Callithrix jacchus: one gene and its partners. The protein of the gene in region 3 purifies or fractionates together with the protein of the main gene of each other region. This does not show direct contact. Links are inferred from orthologs where the notes say so. Each region holds a gene or a part of one and is shown on either strand. Other genes may lie near its edges.

Region 1 (3,987 bases), on a different chromosome or scaffold from region 3:
GCGGGGTTTCACCATGTTGACCAGAATGGTCTCGATCTCTTGACTTCGTGATCTGCCCACCTCGGCCTCCCAAAGTGCTGGGATTACAGGCGTGAGCCACCGCGCCCGGCTCCGTCTGCATTATTTAACCTTCAATCAGTAGTTCTCCAAAACCCCCAAACTCCAGCACTTTTTTTTTTTGAGAGAAGCCCTCGCTGTCGGGTGGAATGCAGTGGCTGAGATCATAGCTCACTGCAGCCTCGAACTCCTGAGCTTAACTGATTCTCCTGCCTCTGTGTCCCAAAGCGCTAAGATTACAGGAGTAAGGCACCCAGCCTGGCCCCAGTACGTTTTTAGAAAAAAATTTAATTGCAAAAATCTAGATAAGTTCTTGAAAGCTGGACTTTTCCCCCTTTTTGTGCCCTAAGCCTGCGCTGAATTTGTGCCTTTGAAATGCTTTCTCCCCTTCTTTCTCCAGGTCCCACACTAGCTGGGGCCGCACTCTTCAAGCACTGGATGCCGACTAACTCGTCTCCTCATCTGCCTTCCCGACTGGCCCAGAGCTGAGTTCTTACTAATCCCGCTAACCTGGAGTTCGGTGCGCGTTGCAAAGCAGTAACGAATTCAACCAGCCCCGGAGGCAGACAGCAAAGCCGGAAGAACAAAGCTGAAAGGGAAACGCCGTACCGCCTCTACCCAGCAGCGCCAGCGGAGGAAGCTTTCCGCAGACGCAAAGCCACGCCCCTTCCCAAGCACCTCCCCGCTGGCCCCCCCTCAATCTAGACTGCCTAAGGCCCCGCCCACAAGGCGTGGCCCAGCTCCAGGAGGGCCGCAATCCCGCCAACAATGACTCCACCCCTGCTTCCGCTGAGAAACCTGTCCCTTTTATTTAAAGAATACCTTTTACGTCAGCCCGCCTTCCGTATCTTTGCGTCATCAGTGCAAGGCGCGGAGGCGGGACTTCCTGTCCCTGGTTCTAACAGCTTCCGGGAAAAGCCGGAAGCGACCGGACCCTGAACAGAATCGCGGGTTGCCAGCCCTTTCCCCGAACCCTACGGAAAGACGAGTCCAGGGGCCGTCCTGGCGAGGTCAAAACATTTAGTCTGGGCTTTTCAGGTGAGAGCTTCCCCATCTAGGCACAGTGCTGGTCCAATCCACCTTTAATTTCCCATGACTCCCCGCGTCCTCAAGCCCCGCCCCCAGTTCCCAGCCCCGCCCCGAAGTTTGAGGGGTGTGGACGGTTTGTGACCCCCTTATCCGACGCTACCCCTCACCGGCAGGGAGAGCTGGGCTTGGCACGGCGGCTGGGACCAGGCAGCCCTTCAGTTCGGGTGGGCTTATGGACCCCAGTCCAACGCCGCTGGAATAGGACCATCCAAACGCGGAACTTTCGCCTCAGAAAAAGCAGGGTGCGGGACCCCTCCTCACCGCGCGGTCTGAGTACGGTCAGGGTAGATCATAGGCTGAGGACAGAGTAAAGTCCTCTGAGGCCGGACACCTGGGGTCCTGCCGGGCCCCTCCCCACGAGAGTTTCCTGTGTCTGTGCCAGTCGTTTTCATCGTTCTTCGCCGCAGTTTCCTCTTCTGTAAATCATGGTTAATGACAATTAACCTTCTTACCATCAGGGGTTAGTTGTGGGTGTGATAAATAATTGCTACCATTTATTGAGCAATTGCAATTTGCAATGTGCCAGGCACTGTGCTAAGTATTTTGCTTCGTTGATTTCACGTCATCTTCAAAACAACCTCATGAGGTAGGTACTATTTTTAACCCCATTTTACTGATGAGAAAGCTGAGGCTCTGAGAAAGTTGTCCGAGTTGACATAGCTAGTAGAACGCAAGACTGGGGTTATAATTAGTTGTTTTTCTAACTCCAGGGCCGGTATATTAAATAAGGATGTTGATGTGTTCCACAGATACTCAGTAACTACTGGGGCATTATATTGGACACTTCAGTACCAAGAGAAATACATACGATCCTTGTCTACCAGGAGTCTAAGAGAAAGGACAGGTAGATAAGTTTAATGAAGTTTTATAGGTGCTGTGAGAATAGTCTGATAATGGATTTGCCCAGGGACAGCTGTGAAAGCAGCAGATTCTCCAAGGGAAATAGTAGGTACTCCAAGCAGCAAGCAGGGATGCTTCCTGTCTTGCTAAGAAACTGCAGCAGCAGAGGCTTCACGGTGAAAGAAGAGAGACTGAGATGTGGATTGCGAGAGCCGTTGGGGAATCTTTTTCAAATCACTTCCACTTGGGGAGTGGTTATTGCAGGAGTGGGCCCATGGTGACCCAGGAGGGTGGTGTTTTGGTGTCTGTCCCACGTTGCTCTCCAGGGGTTGCCAGAAGCTTCAGAGGCGGCACATCATGTCTGCTGCATAGTGTCTGTTCACAGCCCCTACAGAGTTATCCCATTGAGGTTGTCTGACTCTGCTTTTGATGATAGGTCAGTTTTCTTTGGCTCTTGACATCTGGGCAGCCTGGATCTGTGACCAGGAATGAAATAGGCTCAAATGAGACAATCTAGTAGGGGTGGCTCATTCTCAATCTGAAAATATTCCAGGCTTTTGGATCTCTCTGAAGCCACTTTGGAGGCTGCTTAGGAGGCATATTTGCTTGACCAAGTGCTAGAAATCCTAGAGAAACTTAAGCCTCAAAGAAGCAAAGGTTTTTCTCATCAAAAAAAAAAAAAAAGTGTGAGAGAGGAAGATCACAGAACCTGAAAGCAAGAGTTTCACAATAGAGGCAAAGGGTAGGTCTTCAGCTCTAGGTTGAGGCGCCAGAATTGGGAAGGTTTGTACCCGATTCTACAGAACACTGAACTCCATTTTTTTTTTCAGGGCTGGGTCAGTTAGAACCTAAACAAACTAGAGACCTGGTTGCAACCCTCAGGCTCTGCTGATGCTATCCCCCTTTGTTCCTGCAGCGTGGACCCTGTCAGCAGCCAGGCCATGGAGCTCTCTGATGTCACCCTCATTGAGGGCGTGGGTAATGAGGTGATGGTGGTGGCAGGTGTGGTGGTGCTGATTCTAGCCTTGGTCCTAGCTTGGCTCTCTACCTACGTAGCAGACAGCGGTAGCAACCAGCTACTGGGCGCTATTGTGTCAGCAGGCGACACGTCTGTCCTCCACCTGGGGCATGTGGACCACCTGGTGGCAGGCCAAGGCAACCCTGAGCCAACTGAACTCCCCCATCCATCAGAGGGTAATGACGAGAAGGCTGAAGAGGCTGGCGAAGGTGGGGGAGACTCCACAGGGGAAGCTGGAGCTGGGGGTGGTATTGAGCCCAGCCTTGAGCATCTCCTTGACATCCAAGGCCTGCCCAAAAGACAAGCAGGTGCAGACAGCAGCAGTCCAGAGGCCCCCCTGAGGTCTGAGGATAGGACCTGCCTCCCTCCCAGCCCCGGCCTCATCACTGTGCGGCTCAAATTCCTCAATGATACCGAGGAGCTGGCTGTGGCTAAGCCAGAGGATACTGTGGGTGCCCTGAAGAGGTGAGTGGCCTGGGAAGTGGGAGGCTGCTTGTGCCCATCCCCCAGCCCTTGGTTGCCTCTAAGGAGGCTGGTGCAGACATTGGAGCAGCAGGAAAGTATAAGATCAAGCCCTCCTAAGGGCAGGTAGATACTTTCTTAGAAATACACTCTTCAGGCCAGGTGCGGGGGCTCATGCCTGTAATCCCAGCCTTTTGGGAGGCCGAGGCGGGTGGATCACCTGAGGTTGGGAGTTTGAGACCAGCCTCATCAACATGGAGAAACCCCATCTCTACTAAAAATACAAAATGAGCCAGGCTCGGTGGCGTATGTCTGTAATCCCAGCTACTTGGAAGGCTGAGGCAGGAGAATTGCTTGAATCCGGGAAGCGTTGTGTGAGCCTTTGCACTTTAACCTGGGTGACAAGAGTGAAACTCTGTCTCAAAAAAAGAAATACACCCTTCATTAGTTAAGGATAAAGATGAGGGGGGAAAAATCCACCCTCCAATTTTTCCCCACTCCCTTGCTTTGTTATTTCAGGC
Region 2 (3,978 bases), on a different chromosome or scaffold from region 3:
AGCCTACAAAAAAGTTTTCTAAAATATAAACAACACAGGAAAAAAGTGTGCATAGGATATGACTAGGTAATTCACAGAAGTAACTCAAATGGCCAATACATCCATGAAAACCTTACCAGGAATCCAGAAAATGTAAGTTCAAAAAAAGAAAAGAAAGCATTTTTTATTCTTTGGATTGGCAAAAATTGAGTTTTATTTTCTTGGTTGTCTAAAAAAATGTTGGTTAGACTTAATTTGTTTGATTTAGGATGCAAACAGGGTCCTTGCATTGCATAGGTTATTGCGGCTAAGTCTTTAAGACTAGTTATCCTCCTCTCCGCTCACCTTTTATGGCGCTTATTTATTGAACAAACTGGGTCCCTGTCTCGTAGAATGCCCCACATGCTGGAGTTGGCTGGTTGCTTCTGCTGTTTCCGCGTTTCCCTTATCTCCCATATTTCCTGTAAACTGTAGGTTTGATCTAGAGGCCCCATCAGGTTCCTGCTTAACGTGTCTTGGCAAGACTCCATCGCAGGTGGCGCTGGTACTTCCTGGCACTAAGATCGATTGGCGGGACCGGGACTTCGCGGCTTGGCCCCTCCATTTTCTTTTTTTTTTTTTTTGCCCCTCCATTTTCAAGTTCCCCCACCAAACCCTCGCCTCTTGGTTTCACCCTTTTCTGGTGATCGTCTCGTGAATCCATGATTCCATTGAGGGGTGCCGAATAACTTTGGAATTGACTCATTCATCTTCATGTATTAGCTGGACTTTGCTAAAAGAAAGTTTTCCTCCCCATCCATTTTGGGGCTCAGAAATACAGTTCAGGAAGGGCAGGAGGATGTTTGACGCTTTCTTGTTGCTTAAAATTTGGAGAACGAATGAGCTGATGCTCACGATGGCCAATTTTGGGGGTACTATTATAATAAATTCAGGGAGATTACATATACATCTACCTCCTGTTTTCCAATCAGCAGCAGTCACCCGGTTGAAGCTGCTGCAAGTTTTACAGGCACGGGTTGCTTTTCCACGGATAAGTTTAAAAAGAGAATTATTTTTTTTAAATGATGAGAAGCCGCACCGGCTCGGGCTGGCTTCCGGAAGGCGGGCGCGGGGCCCCGGGGCCCGGTCGCGTTGGTCCCGCGCCGGGGGCGGGGCGCGGCGTGGGCTGGGCCGTCGCGCCTTTGTGCGCGGGGCGGGGCGGGTGGCGCAGCGGCGGCCGGGCGGCGGCGGTGGGTAAAAGCGCGGCGTGCGGCGCGCGGCCCCCGAGCGCGCCAACCCTGTCCTCGCCGGAGCCCGTGGCGGCCCAGCGCCCGGTCCTCACCCCGCACCGCGACCCTGCACCCCGCCGGCCGAGCATGGGCGCGCGCGCCTCAGGGGGGCCCGTGGCCCGGGCCGGGCTCCTGCTGCTGCTGCTGCTGCTGCTCGGGCTGCTGGCCGCTGGCGTGCAGGGGGCGCGGGGCCGCGGCGGTGCCGAGAAGAACAGCTACCGCCGCACAGTCAACACCTTCTCACAGAGCGTCAGCAGCTTGTTCGGCGAGGACAACGTGCGCGCGGCTCAGAAGGTGGGCGCCGGGCCCGCGCCCACGGTCACCTTGCCCCGGCCGCCGCGCACCTGGCGCCAGGGGCGGGCCTGCGAGGAGCGCGGCCTCCGGGGTTGCCCGGCCGGCTGGCGCGCGGGAAGAGGGGGTCCGGCCTGCGCCTCGGGGCCTGCCGCTCGCGGCCCCCGTCGGGCCTGGCCAGTGTGGGTTTGGGCGGCCGGGCCTCGGGGCGCCCTCTCCGTCGCGCCCCGCTTCTCCTTGGACCTTGCCCCCGCGGGCGGTGCGGTCGGAGCCCTCTCCCGGCTGCGCTGACGCCCGCCGCGCGTCTCATTCATTCATTGACCGCGTTTGAATGGCTCCCACTGTGAGCCAGGCGGCGCCCTCGCGCCCCGGGTCCCCACGCGGCTGCGCCCTCTCCATCTACCCCGGGTTTGTCCTGGCCTCGCACCCCGACCCCCATCCCCTGGGACCTTGTGCCCCACTCCTCCTGTTTTGAAGATTCATGGAGTTGATTTTACTTTACAGGAAAAGAAGGGAGCAAGGCGACTGGCTCGGTTGCTTTGGGAAACCGAGCACCTACTGTGTGGGGGGCTTTTCGCTTGGAGCCTTTTGTTTAATTTGGGATGGTCCAGGACCCTGCAGCCTCCTGGGAAGGGTATTGAGTCCCAGGAGGACGCAGGGAGTTTTTCCCCCATTCCCGCCCTCTGGAGCTGGGTGGAATAGGGGTGCGATTCCAGGCCGAAGTCCGCCTACCAGCTCCTGAGAAGGAGGAAGTTACTGGGGACAGTTGTGTGTGGTACTGCGGTTCCTTTGCTGTTCCCTGCGGAGGAGGGGGAGTCTTGCTTGCCGCCAGCCTCCCTGGAGTTTTGGAGTCAGAGGAGTTTGGGTTCAAGTTGGAGCTCTACAGGTTGGATGGCTTTGGGCAAGTGACTTCACTTCTTTGAGCCTCAGTTTCCTTTTTTTGTTAAACGGGGATAGTAATCAAAGCTCCTTGGTCGTGAGGTTGTTTATGAATAGCTGATACCTTCCTGGCCCAGAATCATGGCTAAAAATTAGTTTCCTGCTCATTGAGAGGGAGGGGGAAATAGAAAGGAACATTAAGGCCCAAATCAGATTGAATGGATGTTCTTATTGGATAAAATGAAAGGTTAATTGATAAGGAAAACAGTCACTTTTGACCTCCCTGTCCTATGGGCAGGGGGCACCTCTTGCAGAGGTGCGTCTGTGTCTTCATACATGTGGGGGAGAGACCGCTATGTAGGTGACCAAGGAGGGAGGCGGAAGCAGGGCTGAGCTCCTGAATGCTAAAGGTTGCCCCACCGCAGTCTGGTGGGGAGGTCAGGAGTGTGAGCGAAGGGAGTCTACACTTCCTCTTAATGCTGTTCCGGAGCCATTTGAAGATAGAAATCGATTTGTTTTAGAGCAAAAAGAAGCCTGTCTTTTTTCACCCAGGGTGACCACAGGACCCCATGTCTCTACTGACGGTGGTTCCGTATGACAATCTAAGGCCAGTAAACATGACACGTGAGTGGATATTTAAGACCTTTTCTTAAATAAGACAATCCATTCTGCAGAGCATCTGAGAATCAGCTGGTCAGAGCTCTTCCTGGGGTAAACCAGGGTTTGTTCCTTTAATAGAGATGCTAAGGATTACTAAGTGCTTTTGTAGATAGAGTAGCCTTTCATAAGCCTTAGAATGACCCTGTGCCATAGGTACTGTTCCCATTTGACAGATGAGGAAACAGGCACACACAGCAGTGAAGTGGCCGGTTTCAGGTCAGACGAATGGCAGAGCCAGGATGTGAACCCAGGCAGAGAGGGGCACGGAGCTCACATTAGTGTCTCTCACCTGTTTTCCTGCCTCATGACCCCTTCCCTGTTCCTAAAGTCAGTGCAGCATCCAGAGGCTGACCTGACTTATTCTTTTTGTTTGTTTTTTTGAGATGGAGTCTCACTCTGTTGCCCAGGCTGGAATGCAGTGGTGCGATCTCGGCTCACTGCAACCTCTGCCACCCAGGTTCAAGCCATTCTCCTGCCTCAGCTTCCTGGAATTACAGGCACATGTCACCATGCCCAGCTAATTTTTATATTTTTGGTAGAGACGGTTTCACCATGTTGGCCAGGCTGGTCTTGATCTCCTGACCTCAAGTGATCCGCCCACCTTGGCCTCCCAAAGTGCTGGGATTACAGGTGTGAGCCACGGTGCAAGGCCCAGGTGCTTTACTTCTCTGTGTCTCATTTGTGCAGAGGAGATAAATTGGGGAATTAGAGGAGATTGGTTGGGCTGTACAATGCCAGGCACTGAATAAGCATTTAGTAAATGGTAAAATATTTCTATATGAAAGGGATTTGTCCGGTAGAAGAGTGATAGACTTATTAATTCCTTTAAAAAGTATTGAGTGATGGCAGGGCATGGTGGTTCACGCCTGTAATCCCCAGCACTTTGGGAGGCCGAGCTGGG
Region 3 (4,199 bases):
TCAGGCCCAATCTTTAACAGTTCATGGGATACCTGTAGGCACTTAATAAATGTTTGCTGAATGAATGAAGATGGCCGTCAAGAACTCCAGTGACTGCTTGGGTGCAAATCACAAGCTCATCACCTACCAGTATGTGATTTGATACAATATGTATTAAAGCTAATCCCCAGTCCATATTCAAATTTCATTACTTGTCCCAATATTGTCCATTACAACTATTCCATGACCACCACCACCCCAGTCAAGGGTCCTATTTAGAATCACACATCACATTTTGTTGTCATGCTTCTTTAGTCTCCTTTAAACTGGAACAGTTCCTCAGCTTTTCTCTGTTTTTCATGACAATGAGTTATTTTGTAGAGTGTCCTTCATTTGGTGTTCTCTAGCGCTTCCTCATGAGATGTAGGTGGTATACTTTTGACAGAAATACCACAGAGGAGATGTGTCCTCAGTGCATCTTATTAGGAGGCCTTTGATCTGACCCATTAACTAGTGGTGTTAACTTCGATCACTTTGATCTGTTTGTTCTGCTAGGTTACACCTCTGTAACATCACCATTTTCACTTTGTAATCAATAGGCAATTTATGGGAGACACTTTTAATGTTTTAAACATCCCGTTTCTCTAGTTTTACCACACATTATTGATTTTCTAACTCCACCATGTTTATTAGTTGGCATTCTACTAAAAAGAAGACTTTCCCTTCGTCCATTAATATACTCACTTCTTTATGTCTGCAAAGACTCATGAATCACTATTTTATTCAATTAGTTATATTCTATTACTATCACTACATATTTTGATTCTGAAATTGCCCTGACTTGGCCAGTGGGATCTCCTTAAAGACAGTTCCTGTGTTCTTTGACACATTCCCACGATTCTTATTACCATCATCCTTATATTCTTGTGTAACAAGATGTTCAAGTTTATCTGGTACTTTCCGGAATCAGCTTTTTCTTTTCTTTTCTTCCTGCCCCCGCTCTGTCGTCCAGGCTGGAGAACAGTGGCGTGATCTCGGCTCACTGCAACCTCCGTCTCTAGGTTTCAAGCGATTCTCCTGCCTCAGCCTCCCGAGTAGCTAGGATTACAGATGTGCGCTACCACACCCGGCTAATTTTTGCATTTTTAGTGGAGACGGGGTTTCACCATGTTGGCCAGGCTGGTCTCGAACTCGCGACCTCAAGTGATCCACCCACCTCCACCTCCCAAAGTGCTGGGATTACAGGTGTGCGCCACCGCGCCCGGCCGGAATCAGTTTTTCCTTTTGAGAGCCTGGTACTCAAGCTCTTTAAAAAGCTGCCAAGGAGCTCCAAGATTCCTCCGCTTCCTACCCGCAAGCGGAACCTTACAGCTTCGGACCTGGGCATCAGTTTCTTCCGGTTGGGGCCGGAAGTTCCTCCGAAAGGGGCGGCTCCGCGTCAGGTGACTGGAGTCCGCGTAGGAGGGGTCGGAGGTCCTACCCAACAGTTTGGGCGGTAGGACTGGCCGTTTAGCCGACTAAGTGGTACACTGGGCGGCCCCCACGGTGTTAACTGCGCGGAAGCAGGTATGTGAGGGGCTGGGGTTGGGGCGGGGGCCGCCGCGGTTTAGGGACGGGGCCGGGAGATCCGGGTCCGCCTTCCCAGGACACACGGGCTTCAACACCTGAGCCCAGGGGCCCGGAGACAGCAAGACCGGCCGTGTCTCCGCCCCCGAAAAGAGGACGAGCTGGCGTTGTGGTTCTCCGTCCCATGATTACAGATTGGGGAAACTGAGGCCTTGAGAAAGAGAAGGACTCCCACAAGTTCTCCTTTCGAGGCACGGGCACTGATTCCCATTCTATCGCCCCTGCGAGTCCGCCTCTATGATCTAGGAGTGCATTTCACGAGTTTGCCCTGAGTGGAGAAGCAGAGGCCCTGGAACGGGATGAACAGAGTTGGGCTGAGAGTAAAAAACCTGGATTCGAGACTTCGCCTCCGACAGACAATTGTGCGTTCTGGGCCAAATCTCTTCCCTGTGCTGGGCCTCAGTTTCCTTGTGTGTAAAACGGGGCAGTGTTTCTCAAAATACGGTTCTTACACCATCTGCTTTGAAATTCTCTGAGATACCGGCTTTACATTAAAGTGCAGGACTCAATTCAGATATCTGGTTTAATATCTGAGTTGGAACCTAAGAAACTGCTTTTTGAGCTTGTGCCTAGGTAGGTCGTGTCTATACCGATGTTCGAAGTGCATTGATTTTAAGTGCTTTCCTGCTGTGAGCACTAGATATCCATTCTTTCCTTTGAGGCAGCTGGTGCCAGTTCAGGAACTTTGAAAGAACTTAGTTGAGTAAAGAGAGCACTGGAAGGGAATTAACTTTTTAAAATTTGAAAAAATTATTATGGCAAAGAGGGCTTCCACTTCATATTTGGGGCTAAAAGAGGCAGAACTGGAACTAACAGGTGAGTTCTACAGGAAGACAAGATTTTTGCTTAATAGAAGAATTTAAATGAAAGAATCATCAGAGATGACCAGCGATGGAGTGAATGGATTGCCTTTGTGCCTCCTTTAGAGGGAGTTATATAGGTATTAGATGAAGGTCCTTTCCAACTTGAAAGTCTGTGATTCTAAGGAGTTATTCTGCATCTTTCTGGTGCTGACTCTGCTCTTAGGACAAATGTGACTTTTTCTTCTCTCTTTTCTTGACACTTCCATCACTTTGGCCTACATGTCCTGTAAATAAGGCCAATGCATCTGACCTTATGTAATCTCTTCCTGGTTGTCCTGTGCACCATCCTTTTTTTCAAGGACTTTGGAATGACCCAATATCTGATAGAGGTACCTTAAATGTTTGTTGAATGAATAAGTAAACTGGGTCCCACCCCGTGGGATAGTAGCTTTTTTCTAAGAACAACTTGGAAATGCCTCTGGAGATTTTGTGTTTGACCAGGAGAAGCCAGTGAACTCTTTGAATCACAGAATTGAGGAGTCTCAGTTGAAAGGACCCCTTGAGGCCTTTCAGAACAGCCTTCTCCTCCCTGTAACATAACCCCCTCTTGAATCCTTTCTTCAGCAATATGTGTATAGACGTGAGAGAATTTTTGCAGTCTGTAGGCTAGCTTTCCATCCATCAAATAAAACCAGTCCTCTTATAGACTTGACTTGCCAGTTCACACACACCACCAGTCCCAGCTAATTTTTTTGTATTTTTAGTAGAGATGGGGTTTCACCATGTTGGACAGGCTGGTCTCGAACTCCTGACCTCAAGTGATCTGCCTGCCTCAGCGTCCCAAAGTGCTAGGATTACAGGTGTGAGTCACCATGCCTGGCCTCTAGCATAGCTTTAGTTTTCTAATCAAATATCATTATTTCCTAATGTTATGCATTACAAAGCTCTACCTAAATCACTTTTTCAACAGCTGTTAGAATGCTCAGGAATGTTTATGTTGTCTTAGGGAGCAGAAGCTCCATATTATGACCCAGTTCTGCCGACTTGCTCCCCCACCCCCACAAAATAAAGGTTAGGGTTGAGCCAAAACTTTCTGCCTGTGTTTATTGACTTGCTTGTGTTTCCCAAGATTAAAAAAAAAAAAGTTGCAGCCGGGCGCAGTGGCTCAAGCCTGTAATCCCAGCACTTTGGGAGGCCAAGGCAGGTGGATCACGAGGTCAAGAGATCGAGACCATCCTGGTCAACATGGTGAAACCCCGTCTCTACTAAGTATACAAAAAATTAGCTGGGCATGGTGGCGCGTGCCTGTAATCCCAGCGACTCAGGAGGCTGAGGCAGGAGAATTGCCTGAACCCAGGAGGCGGAGGTTGCGGTGAGCCGAGATCGTGCCATTGCACTCCAGCCTGGGTAACAAGAGGGAAACTCTGTCTCAAAAAAAAAAAAAAGTTGCAAAATGCTTATTCAGGTGTTATCCAGGTGCTTGGTAAAATGATCTTAATTTGTTGGAGTTTTTAGAACTTCACAACCTAAAAATTTCCTTTTTTTTTTTAAATTGCATTTTAGGTTTTGGGGTACATGTGAAGAACATGCAAGATTGTTGCATAGGTATGCACATGGCAGTGTGATTTGCTGCCTTCCTTCCGATCACCTATATCTAGCATTTCTCCCCATGCTATCTCTCCCCAACTCCCCACCCCCCTAAAAATGTCCTTTTAAAGAAGTATCTGAATTGGCATCCTCATAAGTGTGTTCTTCAGGCCACTGGTCTGAAGAAATGGCTCTGAAAAAAGG
Region 4 (3,942 bases), on a different chromosome or scaffold from region 3:
AGGTAATCTGTCCAATTCAGCCTCCCAAAGTGCTGGGATTACAGATATGAGCCACCGTGCCTGGTCATAGTACATATTTTGAAAACATGAGTGAATGAACAGGAGGGAAGGAACTAGAGATAGGTTAGTTCTGTATGGTATCTATCTGGACTGACATTCCTAAGGCAATATTTGCTCCCACAAGTAGACATGAACTATGGGAAGTCTAGGATAGATTATTTTAAATCAAGACTGACCTGTAAAAACCAGGATGTGAGATCTCTGTGGCTGCAGGAGCCCAGAGGGAAAAATCCACAGATATCCACAGGCCTGGGATTCAACACCATTCACACAGTAACACACCAAGGACCCAATTCCCGAGCCCAGGTTTGGGTAAAGGGAGTGTACCAATACAAATATTTACTGTGTGACATGTACCTTACATAGTTTTCCCTTTTTTGAATAAATCATCTAATTTCTTCCTTATGGATGACTTACAAAGCATGCTTTAGAAAGGAAGAAATTAATGTTCAGAGAGATGCAATAACCCACCCAAGGTCATATAGCTGATAAACACAGGATAAAGGATCAGGATTCGTGCCAGGTTCCAAAGTCTATGCTTCTTTGATAGTCCTGAAGGGGCAAGGTTGAGGAGCGGGACCAGGGTAAGGGGCAGCCCTGAGGATGGGTATCCCTAGCCAGCCTGGTGGGGCAGCCCATGGATATTGGGCTCTGGGCTGAAAAATTAATTTCGGTAGCCAAAGCGCCTTCTGGCGCCCAGTCTGACAGAAGGGTAGGGGCCCCCTGAGTTCCTCAGAGCCTTTCTCACTGCATTACGAACACCCGCGCTCTGACGAGCTCCAGCTGACGTAGGTATCTGGTGTAACAGATGCCCTGGCTGTTGGAGGGGGAGGGGGCAGATCCTGCTGCGGTCCAAATCCCTAGGGGGTAGCACAACCCCCTCCCCTACAAAGCCGCCCCCACCGGCCCCTCAGCGATCTGCAGACGCCGGGAACCGCCGGTAGAGCCCCGCACGTGGGTCCGCAGGGCAGAGGGCGGGGACAGCGCGGCGCCGGACTACAAGTCCCACAATGCCCCTGGCTGCGGCGGCGGGGAAGGAGGGGTGCTTCAGGTGCCTATGACCTCCGCGCCTCCCGCCCGGAAGTGCCCGAGGGGCCGCGATGGAGCAGGGGGACGCGGGCGGTGAGTCTCCGCGCCGCGACCGCGCCCACCCCGCCACCCAGGGCCCCAGCCGGGCCCCGCCCGCGCTGCCCCGGATCGCCGTGCCCTCCTGCGGCTCCGGGGGGCGGGAAGGTGGGAGGGGTGACAAGGGGTGGGGGCGGGGAGCGCGAAGTCTCGGATTCCCGGCGGGATCTGGGGTCTGGCAGCTGCGGGGCTTGGAGAGGCTTCCAGAGGAGGCGCAGAGTTGGGCCTCCGGGGAGAGGGGTTGAGGGGATCAGGAGGGGGCCGAGCTGGGTGGGTGGTGACGCTCGGAGGCTCCAGATTGCCCAGGGGCGAGTTTGACGTTTGCTGTGGGAGAAGCCTGGGAAGCAGTCCGGTGCCGCGGGTGGGGTTTGGGTGAACGGTAACGCTGTGGGTGGGGGGATGGGGATACAGAGGCTCTACCCCTACCTCGGAGAAACTTTAGCAACGGAGTAGATGAGCCTGGGGTGAAGTCGGTGAAGGAGTAGACACACTAGAGTGAAGTGGACGGAGAATAGATACGCTTGGGGGTGAAGTTTGGTCGGGGTGACGTTTAGGGGAGGCATTGCTTAGAAGGTCGGGGCCCTTACCTTGAGATAGGGTTTAGGTGAGCTGGGAGCTGGTTGAAGACCTCGAGCTCAGATGACAGAAAGTTAGGACTTGGGATTCGGCGATGGGAAAGGGCACCCGGACGCAAGTTTGGGGCAACTGGGAGGCAGAGCAGCCGGTACCCTGGGGTGGGTGAGGGGACGGGCTGAGGACGGTGGGATCATAGCGGTGGAGTGGGGGCAGGATCCTGTGGAGGTTCTAGGGCCCCTAGCCCGGGGGGCTCGCGCCTCACGGGCTCTTTGTGCCTCTCCAGCTCGGTAGTGCGGCGGGCAAGGCAAGCGCCATGACCCTGATTGAAGGGGTGGGTGATGAGGTGACCGTCCTTTTCTCGGTGCTTGCCTGCCTTCTGGTGCTGGCCCTTGCCTGGGTCTCAACGCACACCGCTGAGGGCGGGGACCCACTGCCCCAGCTGTCAGGGACCCCATCGCCAGCCCAGCCCAGCGCAGCCATGGCAGCTACCGACAGCATGAGAGGGGAGGCCCCAGGGCCAGAGACTCCCAGCCTGAGACACAGAGGTCAAGCTGCACAGCCAGAGCCCAGCACTGGGGTCACAGCAACACCGACACAGCCAGCCCTGGACTCCCCGCAGGAGCCCCTCGTGCTACGGTTGAAATTCCTCAATGATTCAGAGCAGGTGGCCAGGGCCTGGCCCCACGACACCATTGGTTCCTTGAAAAGGTAAGCAGGGCAAGAGGCAGGAGCAATGCTAAAGACAGGGATGGGGGGACTAGTAGCAGAAGGCTCCCAGAGAGGTCTGAGACCCAGCCCTCGTTTATACTGGAGGCGATGAGCGCCCCACATCACAACTACACTTGTTTCCCTGGCAGATGGCCCCTCCCAAGCCAGGACCTGTGCGGTGCGGAGGGCAGGGGGAGGGTGGGAGTGCTGCTCCGGGACCAGGGACTAGGATTGCCTGAGGCCTGCTCTCTTACCCAGGTCCCTCTCTCCTCAGGACCCAGTTTCCCGGCCGGGAACAGCAGGTGCGACTCATCTACCAAGGGCAGCTGCTAGGCGACGACACCCAGACCCTGGGCAGCCTTCACCTCCCTCCCAACTGCGTTCTCCACTGCCACGTGTCCACGAGGGTCGGCCCCCCAAGTCCCCCCTGCCCTCCGGGGTCCGAGCCCGGCCCCTCCGGGCTGGAAATAGGCAGCCTGCTGCTGCCCCTGCTGCTCCTGCTGCTGCTGCTGCTCTGGTACTGCCAGATCCAGTACCGGCCGTTCTTTCCCCTGACCGCCACTCTGGGCCTGGCCGGCTTCACCCTGCTCCTCAGTCTCCTGGCCTTTGCCATGTACCGCCCGTAGTGCCTCCGCGGGCGCTTGGCGGCATCGCTGGCTCCTCTGGACCTTGCTCCCCGCGCCGTGGCGGGAGCTGCTGCCTGCCCAGGCCCGCCTCTCCGGCCTGCCTCTTCCCGCTGCCCTGGAGCCCAGCCCTGCACCGCAGAGGACTCCCGGGGCTGGCAGAGGCCCAGCCCTGCGCTCGCCGTGGCTCGGGGCCGCCTCCCGGGGCTGCTGGCCCTCAGCCAGCACTGGGAGTCGGCTCCTCGGGGTCAGGGACCTGCTGTCGCTGCCTAGGCCCCGGGCAGAGACGGGCCGCCCCCCGGGCCCGTCTTAACGTGCTGCCGGAGGACCCAGCCGCCTCCAGTCCCTGACAGCACCATGGGCTGAGTTGGGGACGCCAGGACCGTGGGAGGCTGGTGAAGGGGAGCGGGGAGGGGCAGAGGAGTTCCTCGGAACCCGTGCAGATTAAAGTAACTGTGAAGTTTTCACTCTTGCAGTGTGTCTGAGTGTGTGCGGAGTGGCGGGCGGGGAGCCCTCGCCGCTTGGGAGAGAAGGGTACAGACTGCTCCGGACGCTCTGGTCCACCGCTATCCCTTCTGGGTGTTCCGCCTGGGATTCGGCGCGGGCCTCCGTGGTCCCGCCCCCGGCGTCGCGCGCGCACTTCCCGGGGGCGGGCTCGCGGCTCCCTGGCTCGCAGTGCCTGCCGGGAGCCACGTCTCCGCTGGCCGAGCGCAGCTCCGGGATTGGTGTCCCGGCCGCGTTCCAGGGGCTGCTGGGAAGATGGCGGACTCGGCGGCCAGCCGATGAGGAGGCCGCGGGGGGAGCCTGGCCCCCGGGCCCCGAGACCGACTGAGGGAGCGACCTGCGCAGG
Region 5 (4,095 bases), on a different chromosome or scaffold from region 3:
TTACCTTTTCTCACTTCCACTATTAAGTAACCTTAGGCCTGCTGTTTCCTAACCACCTGGCTCGCTTGCCAATAGTCTGTCTCCACTTTCAGCCCTTTTGTAGATTCATTGGCCTTAAAGCACTGCTTTCCCATATTTCCCTACCCAAGAGTTCAGGGGTCCCCAAGCCCTGGGCCGCGGGACCACTACCATACAGTGATCTGCTAGAAACCTAGCCAGACAGCAAGAGGTGAGCAGCGGTCGAGCGAGCATTATCGCCTTGAGCTCTGCCTGCTATTAGATTAGCCCATGGCATCATATTCTCATATAAGCGCGAACCCTATTGTGAACTGCATATGCGAGGGTTGCGGTCTCCCTGTGAGAATCTTAACTAATGCCTGATGTTCTGAAGTGGAACAGTTTCATCCGAAACGATTCCCACCCCCCCACCCCCCCCAACACAAACCCACCCGTCCGTTAGAGGACTTTCCAACCCTAGTCTACCTTGTCCATTACGGTTCCACCTCTAGCCATTCAAGGCTTACACCATTAATGCCCTTAATTTCTCTTGTATTCATCTATCTCCCACCTATACCTTTTTCCTTGCCTTTTTTATTTTTGGCAATATGTGCACATGGTTTAGAATGTAAAACGAACGAAGAATATGTAGTGACGGCTACCATAGCACTCCTTTCCAACACACAAGCCTTCAAGGAAACTGAAGTACTTACTTTGGTCTCCCTGGAGGACAGTCCTCCGCTTCCCGCCGCATGTGCTTAGCAATTCTGTTCCTATTGCCTGGATGACCTTCATAAAAGCCCTCACTGGACCAGAATTCTAGCACGTAATAGGAACACAAGCAAGAGAATGATGCAGTTATATTTAACATCTTTCTCTTCCTAACTTTCACAGCACTTTACTTGCAACAAGTTTGGTTGCTTCTGAAGTGCAGGATCTGTGCCGGAAGCACGTGCGTGCCACACAGTGGGGCTCCCCATATACCGCAAAAGGACAAACCGAACAGCTACAGCTTGAGAGTGAGCGAGTGGGTTCACTACACAAGAACAAACCGACCTTGTCCGAAAGGCCCTCTCCTTTTCTCTGCTTCGCTGCTCACTCCAGACCCCCAACTGTCCTCTTCCGAGCAGTTAACTAGCAGTGTACAGAAAAGCGACTTGCCTTCAAGGGAGCCTGCGCAGCCGCGCGGCTGGGAGAATTTTGTCCCGTGCGCTCCCCGTCTCACTAGTCGCGGACCGGGGCTACGCCTTGTGCGTCCCCGCGCAGCCGCAGTGCTGGGCGAGTGGGCGGGGCCGGCTGTTGGCGGCTGTTGGCTCTGCACGGGAGTCGGCTGCACGTGCGGGCGGGGGCGATGCGTCACTGATCGGTAAGGCGCGGCGCGGCCGAGGGATCAGCTTTCCTCCCAAGCCTGAGGCTGCACTCCTTAGTTAGTGCCTGCCGCCGGGGAGCGACCCTTGGGAGAGGGGGTGACAGGAAGCTCACCGAGCAGGGGCGGCCCTCCGACCGCCTGGGGCGGAGAAGTTGGCAAGGGGTCAGCGGGCTCCGCCAGGAGGAAAGAATGAGGGGACTGGGGCACTGGACTCCCCGGCTCAGGCTGCTAGAGAGCGCCAAGTTTCCGGAGGGAGAGGGTGGAAACTGGAGGGGGTGGACCTGTCACTCACGGGACTGAGGGTCTTTTTCTCTCGCTCCCAGGAGGAACGAGGATGAATATGACTCAAGCCCGGGTTCTGGTGGCTGCAGTGGTGGGGTTGGTGGTTGTCCTGCTCTACGCCTCCATCCACAAGATTGAGGAGGGCCACCTGGCTGTGTACTACAGGTGAGCGGCATGTGCAGTCAGTTCGAGCACTAGAGCAGATAGAAGGGTACTCACGTTAGAGTGGAGTCTGGGAAGTTGTTCCCTCTGCAGCGTTCGGGGACGCACGTCCCATCTCTAGGGAAAGCACGGGGGTCGAAGAGGGCTTTTGCTGAGCACCCTCCAGGTGCTGACAGTTTTAGTGCTATGTTCGTTTTGCAGAGATTAAGTCTCCCTACAGTGAGTCTATACACAGCAAACTCAATTTTATTTTGTAGAAAAATGAAGAAGGAAGAAAGGAAGTAGTCTTTGTACCTCTGACTGAAGACATGGATAAATTATAGATCGTGCAACTGTACAGGCTTTAGTTTGCCACTATAGACGGTGTACAGAAAATTTGGTTCTGTTTATGGTTGTTCTTTAGACTGTTTCGCTTAAAAGCTTCCAGTGTCTGGTTACGTCTTACAACACCGTGATAACAGTGATAGTTGTTATATCCCTGCACCTCCTGGGACATCAGCACAACACCGATGGGCCGTCCTCCTCCTCACTGTTTCTGTTCAGGTTGGGGACAGGAGTGGTATGGAAGCTGTTGCTCTCTTGTTGAGCCTGCTTAGCTTTTCCTTCAGCCTAATTACCACAAGTTCCTTTTGATATAGACTAGTAAGAGAGAGGCCAGTTTGTGGAGAAATTGGAATAATGGTGTATTGAAAAAGAGCGTCAACTTTTTGCTTTTTTCTTTTATCCCTCAAAACTGATATTTCTTTCAGATCCATCCAGAATCCTAGAAAAAGAACAATTTTAGTGGTATATCTTAGCAGACGGACCTCTAGAGTAAGAGATTACAGATCAGCCCAGATTTCCTTCCAGTTTAGCATTGTCTGATAGTAAAACCGGAGAAAGGACATTTCAACGAATGGTTCAAAGAATTAGTGATGAACCTAAAACAGTTCATCTTTTCTTTATTATGACTTTGCCAACGTGTTTATATTTTCAAGACAGGAAGCTAAGTTCTGTGAATTTACAAGGCGCAAAATAGGACTTCTTTGTTTTATTTGCTCCCCAAATACCTCCTTTTTATAGTGCCCTTATAGGGCTTGCTTTCCTAGTTCTCACATTCCAGGATTTGGTGAACAAGCCCTTATCCTATCTATTTATATGGTCTTGCCACCCTTCATCTTTTCATGCTATTTTTTTTTGTTTTTTATATAGAAACTTTATGTTCCCAATATTTTAATTACCTTGCCAGTAGATTGAAAGAATTATAAGCCTCAGAAATTTTCTCTTTAAAGTTTGTGTTGTCTTTTTCTCAACCTGGTGATTAAATGTGTTATATATTTTGATTTTGTTCTTGTTGTGTACAGTTGCTGTAGGTACATTTACCTCTGTTAAAAGCCATTGTAATTTTTTAAACAAGTATTTCTCAGAAAGTTAAAGACCAAGGAGAATCCTTTGAACCTAAGGGCAGTGCTGGAGACCCAGAGGTGCGGTTAGTTGAGCTTACGAAACAAGGTGTAACATTGACAATTCAGTTTGATCTTTTTGCCTTTTTAGGTGTGGAGGTATTTTAAGCAGTTGTTCATTATGAGTAATTAATGTTAGTGAGGCTTTAGTAGGTCAGTAGCATGAGTAAGAGTGGGTATTTATTATAGCACTTTAGATTTGGAAAGATAATTTATCTTTTTATGATTTTGTCAAATTGAAACATCTTTTTGCAGGGGAGGAGCGTTACTAACCAGCCCTAGTGGACCAGGCTATCATATCATGTTGCCTTTCATTACTACGTTCAGATCTGTGCAGGTGAGTGATTCCTAGGGAAGCCCCCATACCAGATAGACAGGTATGACAGGAGTTACCACACTTGTGGGTAGAGATAGATTTCCCTATTGCTTAAGCAGGTGGTGGTATTTGCCTAAATGCAGCAGTTAGCGTTCAGAGTACAGTTGTTACAACACAGGTTATGTTTAACCACCCCGCTTGCATGAAATGAGTTAAAAGTATGAACTAGGCAATTAGGAAGACTAACTTCTGCCATCTGTATAGTGGTATGTAGCAAATTTTCTGTTGCTGCTTTCACAATAAAAGCAAGAATTAGGAACACAAATAGACATAAAAACCAGTGATTATGTGGTTTAGAACAGTGTTTGGTTTCCATAGAGGCAGGCTCCTGGGCTACTGTTAACATGGAGGATCAAAATTTTTATACACAGCTTTTCTGCCTCTTTTTTTTTTTTTTTTTGGCCTGGTACATTAAGCACAATTTTATGTAGAACTTTAGTACATATTATATTTTGATGACATCTCAG
Region 6 (4,034 bases), about 60 Mb from region 3:
TATCTTCCAGAGGTCCCCAGGAGTCAGAGGCTTTTTCCGGCTGCTCAGACACAGAAAAAGATGAAACAGATCGACAAATCTTTATTAACAGAAACAGACAGATGGATCGAGAATGCAACAGGGGCTGTGTGTGTATTTATGTGCATGTGTGTGTTTGTGTGTGTAAAAGGCCTTCTCCAGGCCAGGAAGGGCCCCTTGGAATTAGGCCCACCTGTCTAGATCCTCTCCTCAGTGGTGGGTCCTGGGCTGAAACCAGTTTCCCCATCACACCTCCAAAGAAGGAATGGGGGTCTTTCTGGGATGGAAGACTCTGACTTCAAGCATTCTTCACATTACTCTGGTTCCCCAGCTGACTTTGTTGCTGAGGGGGCTGGGGACAAGCCACAGGGGCACTTGCATAGCAGGGGAGTAGAAAGGGGATAAGGCATATGGTGAGGACAGGGGAGAAGGGGAAGGGTATCATAGCTGCAGGTGAAAGGGGCCTCCAAAGGGCAGCTCCTCTTCCCCCTCAAATTGCTGCTGGATTGAGGAGTCAGAGTGAGACAGTATAATACCCTCTCCCAACCTTAACTCCAGAACCCGTTTGGTGGGGAGGGGGTAGGAAGCTGTGGAGCTCTGGAAAGGCCTGAGTTAGTGAGTCAAGCTTGTGATGTGTGTTTGAACACAACTGGCTCCCTTGGTATACCAGGGGCTCCCTCTCTGGATGGGTGTGAGTGCATGGTCCTACTGTACGCACAGGTCTCAGTGTCTATATGTGTCTCATTTGTTCCCATGGGTCTCTGTTTTTGGATACATAAGCATGGATATCCCTGCTTATACAGCAGGAACTCAGGATCTGCATGGTGTGAGTATGTCCCTGTCTGTAAACATGGGCTCCAGCAAGTGGATATATGCGGGCCTGCCCGCTCCTGTCCATCCACAGGTCTTCCTTCAGGCCTGGCTGGTCAAGGGTCCTGGCCGAAGAGGTAGGTGGTGAGCTCAAGCCGGAGGCCCCGGGCATAGGAGCGAAGAGTATAGAAGAGGGTGAGGAAGTCCTGGGTGCTGAAGACAGTGTCAGCCAGGGCAAAGGCCAGGGTGGATGGGATGACACCCCGGCCGTACTCCACCATCCATGTGTTTGGCCCCCACTCCACAGCCGTGGCTTCACCAGGCCCATGTACTACCGTCTCTCCTGGGGGACAGGGAGCACCCGAGTGAGGAGCCTAGCTCTGCCCTTCCCTTTCATGGCTGCTGTTTCCCTGGCCCATGGGCTATCTAGGGGTGGGGAATGGAGAGGGAGCTTCAGAAAAACAAAAAGCCCTACCTCACTGGGCTGGCCGAAACGGCCACTCCTACATGTTCTGTGACATCACCTGGCCTGTGTCCTCTCTTGGGGGAAGCCATGGAGGGCTACCTTGCCTGGCCATGGACCCATTGTATGCAAGTCTGCATTCCCAAGCCTCACTCAAATCAAGCAGAAATTAAGCCAAACCTAGTCTGGGCTGTAGCTAGGGAAGGGGTAGTTCCAGGACTTGTGAGGCTTTATCTGAAAAGTGTTGCTGTTCAACCACCATGCCCGCGATGCATACACCTGACATCAAACATACTGGGAAGTCCAGTGCGCTACTTCTTAATTGTTTTACTATTAAAAAACAGAAAAGATAACTGTTTGTCTTGTCTTTGGGGTATTGAAAGCATTTCTGATTACCCACTGTCTCCCCAGCAGTTGCTGGAATATTGGCTGGGTAAAATTGTGCCTGGGCAGACAAAAATCAGACATGATTAGCAGGAAGTTATGTTTTGTTTCCTTTTGACAGAGGAAAGCACAAGTCTTTCCTCAGCTCTGCCCCAACCAATCACCTGTGGCTTATGGGAGGGTGGAGGAAGGGAACCATAAGGAGGGCCCCCCCAACAGACTCCTTTTCCATGCCATGCTCCCCGCAATCGTGGGCACCCCCCGCGTGAAGGGAACCACTTCTCTGACAGAGCCTCCTTACCCACCTGGGTAGAAAACCTCACTTTTGGTAGTGCCCTCTCTCCACTGGTGGAAGGTGCCAGAGATGATGGTATCCGAGATCTCAGCCCAGTAGCGCCCTGAGTGACAATCACATGGACACTATCAGAGTATTCGCGCCATCGCAACGGCCCAGCCAAACATCAGAAAGGAGGGCATGGGCCCCTTTACAACCCCAGCCTCCCAGGCCAGACCACCGCTAGCACTGACCCGAGTGGCCGCGGGAGCCCAGGGCGGTGCCGAAGAGCAGCACATACTCGGACAGCGAGGCGTGCAGAAGGCACATGGCGCCCATCCAGCCGCCTGCATTCACGAACACCCACTGCAGCTCCTCGTCGGGCAGCACATGGCCTGGGTGCAGCCGTCGCAGCTCCACGATCAACCGAGAGAAGGCTAGCTCGTGGTCCAGCCCTGGCGGAGGGAGAGGGGCGGTGGAGTCAGGGCCGGCACCGGTCCTCGGCCCAGTAATGGTACCTTCGGAACCCTGGTCTCGGCTCCCGGACCGGCCGCTCCCCTCCCCGCTCTCTGCCCGCTCACCAGCGTATTGCCGCGCCAGCTGCGCGATCTCTTCGCGCTGGAAGACGAAGCTCTGAGTACCAAGCCAGAGCCAGACGACCTGGGTCAGCACCGCTGCGACAGCCAGGAGCAGCGCGGCCCGCGCCCACAGCCGGCCCGCGGCCCACTGCATCCCGGCGGGCGGCCTGGCACGGCGCAGCGAAGGATGGAGCCGAGGCCTGAGGCTTTGCGCTCACCGCCTCGGAGCCTGCCGGCTGCCCACGACGCGCTCCCCCGCCACCGCTGTCGTACAGCTCGCCCTGACCAATCGGAGCGGCCTGGGCACCTCGGCACCACCCGCTTCGGTCGAACCATTTCCTCGGGGGGAGCGCGGAGGAGAGGGGCTGCACCGCGCACAGGAGACGAGGGGGCGGAGCGAAGTCGCCCAGCTGCCAGAGGCAGGGTTTTCAGGCGTGGTCTGACCTAACGCCACTCTATATGGGGATAGAGATGGGGGTAGTGAGACCCAGAATGGACTAGTCCACACAAGCTCACTGGCTGGTGAAGAAGACGAGCCCGGAAGTGGAGCCTTCTGGGACTCACGATGGTTAAGGCCCGCCATAACCAGCACTTAAACGGAGAGGAGGTAGTTCAAGCTGGGGGCCCTAGGGTGGGCATACCAGAGGCGGTGACACCTGAGCTGTGTCTTTAAGAGCGCGGAGAAGGGGCATGCCAGCCCACAGGGACAGGCCCCTAGAGCAAAGGCCCCCGAGGAGAGACAGCGTGGGGTCTTCAGGGCCCTACAATTCCTTCTCTGTTCTGCAGCACAAAATGTGAGAGGAGGCCTTGTAAACCAGCTGTGGGTTATCAGCAGGGGAGGAAAGGGATTAGATTTTGTCACCGAGTGGCACAGGACTACCGAGTGGAGGGGAGCAAGATGAGGCAGGGAGACCATGACTGTGGTCCAAGTAAGAGAGAAGGTCTGTAAGTGGAGATGGAAGAAAGAAATGAGCTTAACAACTCTGGAAATGGATTTGGCAGGGCTTGATCTCTTCTTCCTGGAATACTCTTCCCCCTTTATCCTATCCCCACTTTTCCCTTATTTGGCTAACATCCTTTGCATATCTAGCTGGCAATCGAGTGTTGAGGTCTGGAAGCCCAGATCCAGTCTGGAGATAGAGCTGGGAGTTATCATTCATTCAGGCAACAGATGTTTTGTTAGTACTTGTATGTGCCAAGTTTTGTGGTGACCATTAGGGATATGGCTGGAAACAATGGTCCCACTCCCCATTTTAGAGATCTCTCTAGGAGTCTACAGAATACCTCTAAGGATGGATAAAATCTCCCAGGGAGAGAGAATAGAGTAAGATAAGGCTTAAGACAGAGCCTGGGAGAGCACCAACAGCAAAGGGTAGGCAGAGGAAGAAGAAAGCTAACAGGAAAACAAACAAAAGAGAAAAGAAGCAGCATAGTGAGGTGATTAAGAAATAAACTCCGGCGCTGGACTGCCTGAGTTCAAAGCCTGGCTCCTACCTACTAGTTGTCT

Evidence for each region.
Region 1: the proteins of RNF185 (region 3) and TMUB2 purify together in Homo sapiens (affinity purification with western blotting; 3 studies listed by BioGRID and IntAct, with this or other methods). This does not show direct contact. The link is inferred for Callithrix jacchus from reciprocal best matches to the Homo sapiens genes RNF185 and TMUB2.
Region 2: the proteins of RNF185 (region 3) and BRI3BP purify together in Homo sapiens (affinity purification with mass spectrometry; 3 studies listed by BioGRID and IntAct, with this or other methods). This does not show direct contact. The link is inferred for Callithrix jacchus from reciprocal best matches to the Homo sapiens genes RNF185 and BRI3BP.
Region 4: the proteins of RNF185 (region 3) and TMUB1 purify together in Homo sapiens (affinity purification with mass spectrometry; 5 studies listed by BioGRID and IntAct, with this or other methods). This does not show direct contact. The link is inferred for Callithrix jacchus from reciprocal best matches to the Homo sapiens genes RNF185 and TMUB1.
Region 5: the proteins of RNF185 (region 3) and ERLIN1 purify together in Homo sapiens (affinity purification with mass spectrometry; 3 studies listed by BioGRID and IntAct, with this or other methods). This does not show direct contact. The link is inferred for Callithrix jacchus from reciprocal best matches to the Homo sapiens genes RNF185 and ERLIN1.
Region 6: the proteins of RNF185 (region 3) and SIGMAR1 purify together in Homo sapiens (affinity purification with mass spectrometry; 3 studies listed by BioGRID and IntAct, with this or other methods). This does not show direct contact. The link is inferred for Callithrix jacchus from reciprocal best matches to the Homo sapiens genes RNF185 and SIGMAR1.

Annotation. Positions count from the first base shown.
Region 1 is NC_133506.1:71,038,736-71,042,722, forward strand, and holds the start of TMUB2 (transmembrane and ubiquitin-like domain-containing protein 2), read left to right. Parts: upstream 1-1,187; 5' UTR 1,188-1,727; coding exon 1,728-1,732; intron 1,733-1,895; exon of another isoform or gene 1,896-1,990; intron 1,991-2,816; exon of another isoform or gene 2,817-2,902; coding exon 2,903-3,469; intron 3,470-3,987.
Region 2 is NC_133510.1:128,182,459-128,186,436, forward strand, and holds the start of BRI3BP (BRI3-binding protein), read left to right. Parts: upstream 1-1,178; 5' UTR 1,179-1,334; coding exon 1,335-1,541; intron 1,542-3,978. UniProt on the Homo sapiens protein: Involved in tumorigenesis and may function by stabilizing p53/TP53.
Region 3 is NC_133502.1:201,671,632-201,675,830, forward strand, and holds the start of RNF185 (E3 ubiquitin-protein ligase RNF185), read left to right. Parts: upstream 1-1,399; 5' UTR 1,400-1,545; intron 1,546-4,199. UniProt on the Homo sapiens protein: E3 ubiquitin-protein ligase that regulates selective mitochondrial autophagy by mediating 'Lys-63'-linked polyubiquitination of BNIP1.
Region 4 is NC_133512.1:97,129,169-97,133,110, forward strand, and holds TMUB1 (transmembrane and ubiquitin-like domain-containing protein 1), read left to right. Parts: upstream 1-1,142; 5' UTR 1,143-1,293; intron 1,294-2,044; 5' UTR 2,045-2,074; coding exon 2,075-2,469; intron 2,470-2,743; coding exon 2,744-3,095; 3' UTR 3,096-3,559; downstream 3,560-3,942. Other genes in the region: FASTK (fas-activated serine/threonine kinase), read left to right, coding at 3,875-3,942. UniProt on the Homo sapiens protein: Involved in sterol-regulated ubiquitination and degradation of HMG-CoA reductase HMGCR. Involved in positive regulation of AMPA-selective glutamate receptor GRIA2 recycling to the cell surface.
Region 5 is NC_133513.1:93,108,468-93,112,562, reverse strand, and holds the start of ERLIN1 (erlin-1), read left to right. Parts: upstream 1-1,295; 5' UTR 1,296-1,423; exon of another isoform or gene 1,424-1,528; intron 1,529-1,689; 5' UTR 1,690-1,700; coding exon 1,701-1,813; intron 1,814-3,507; coding exon 3,508-3,589; intron 3,590-4,095. UniProt on the Homo sapiens protein: Component of the ERLIN1/ERLIN2 complex which mediates the endoplasmic reticulum-associated degradation (ERAD) of inositol 1,4,5-trisphosphate receptors (IP3Rs).
Region 6 is NC_133502.1:141,502,073-141,506,106, forward strand, and holds SIGMAR1 (sigma non-opioid intracellular receptor 1), read right to left. Parts: upstream 2,801-4,034; 5' UTR 2,682-2,800; coding exon 2,531-2,681; intron 2,405-2,530; coding exon 2,204-2,404; intron 2,074-2,203; coding exon 1,981-2,073; intron 1,737-1,980; coding exon of another isoform or gene 1,684-1,736; exon of another isoform or gene 1,601-1,683; intron 1,172-1,600; coding exon 945-1,171; 3' UTR 64-944; downstream 1-63. UniProt on the Homo sapiens protein: Functions in lipid transport from the endoplasmic reticulum and is involved in a wide array of cellular functions probably through regulation of the biogenesis of lipid microdomains at the plasma membrane.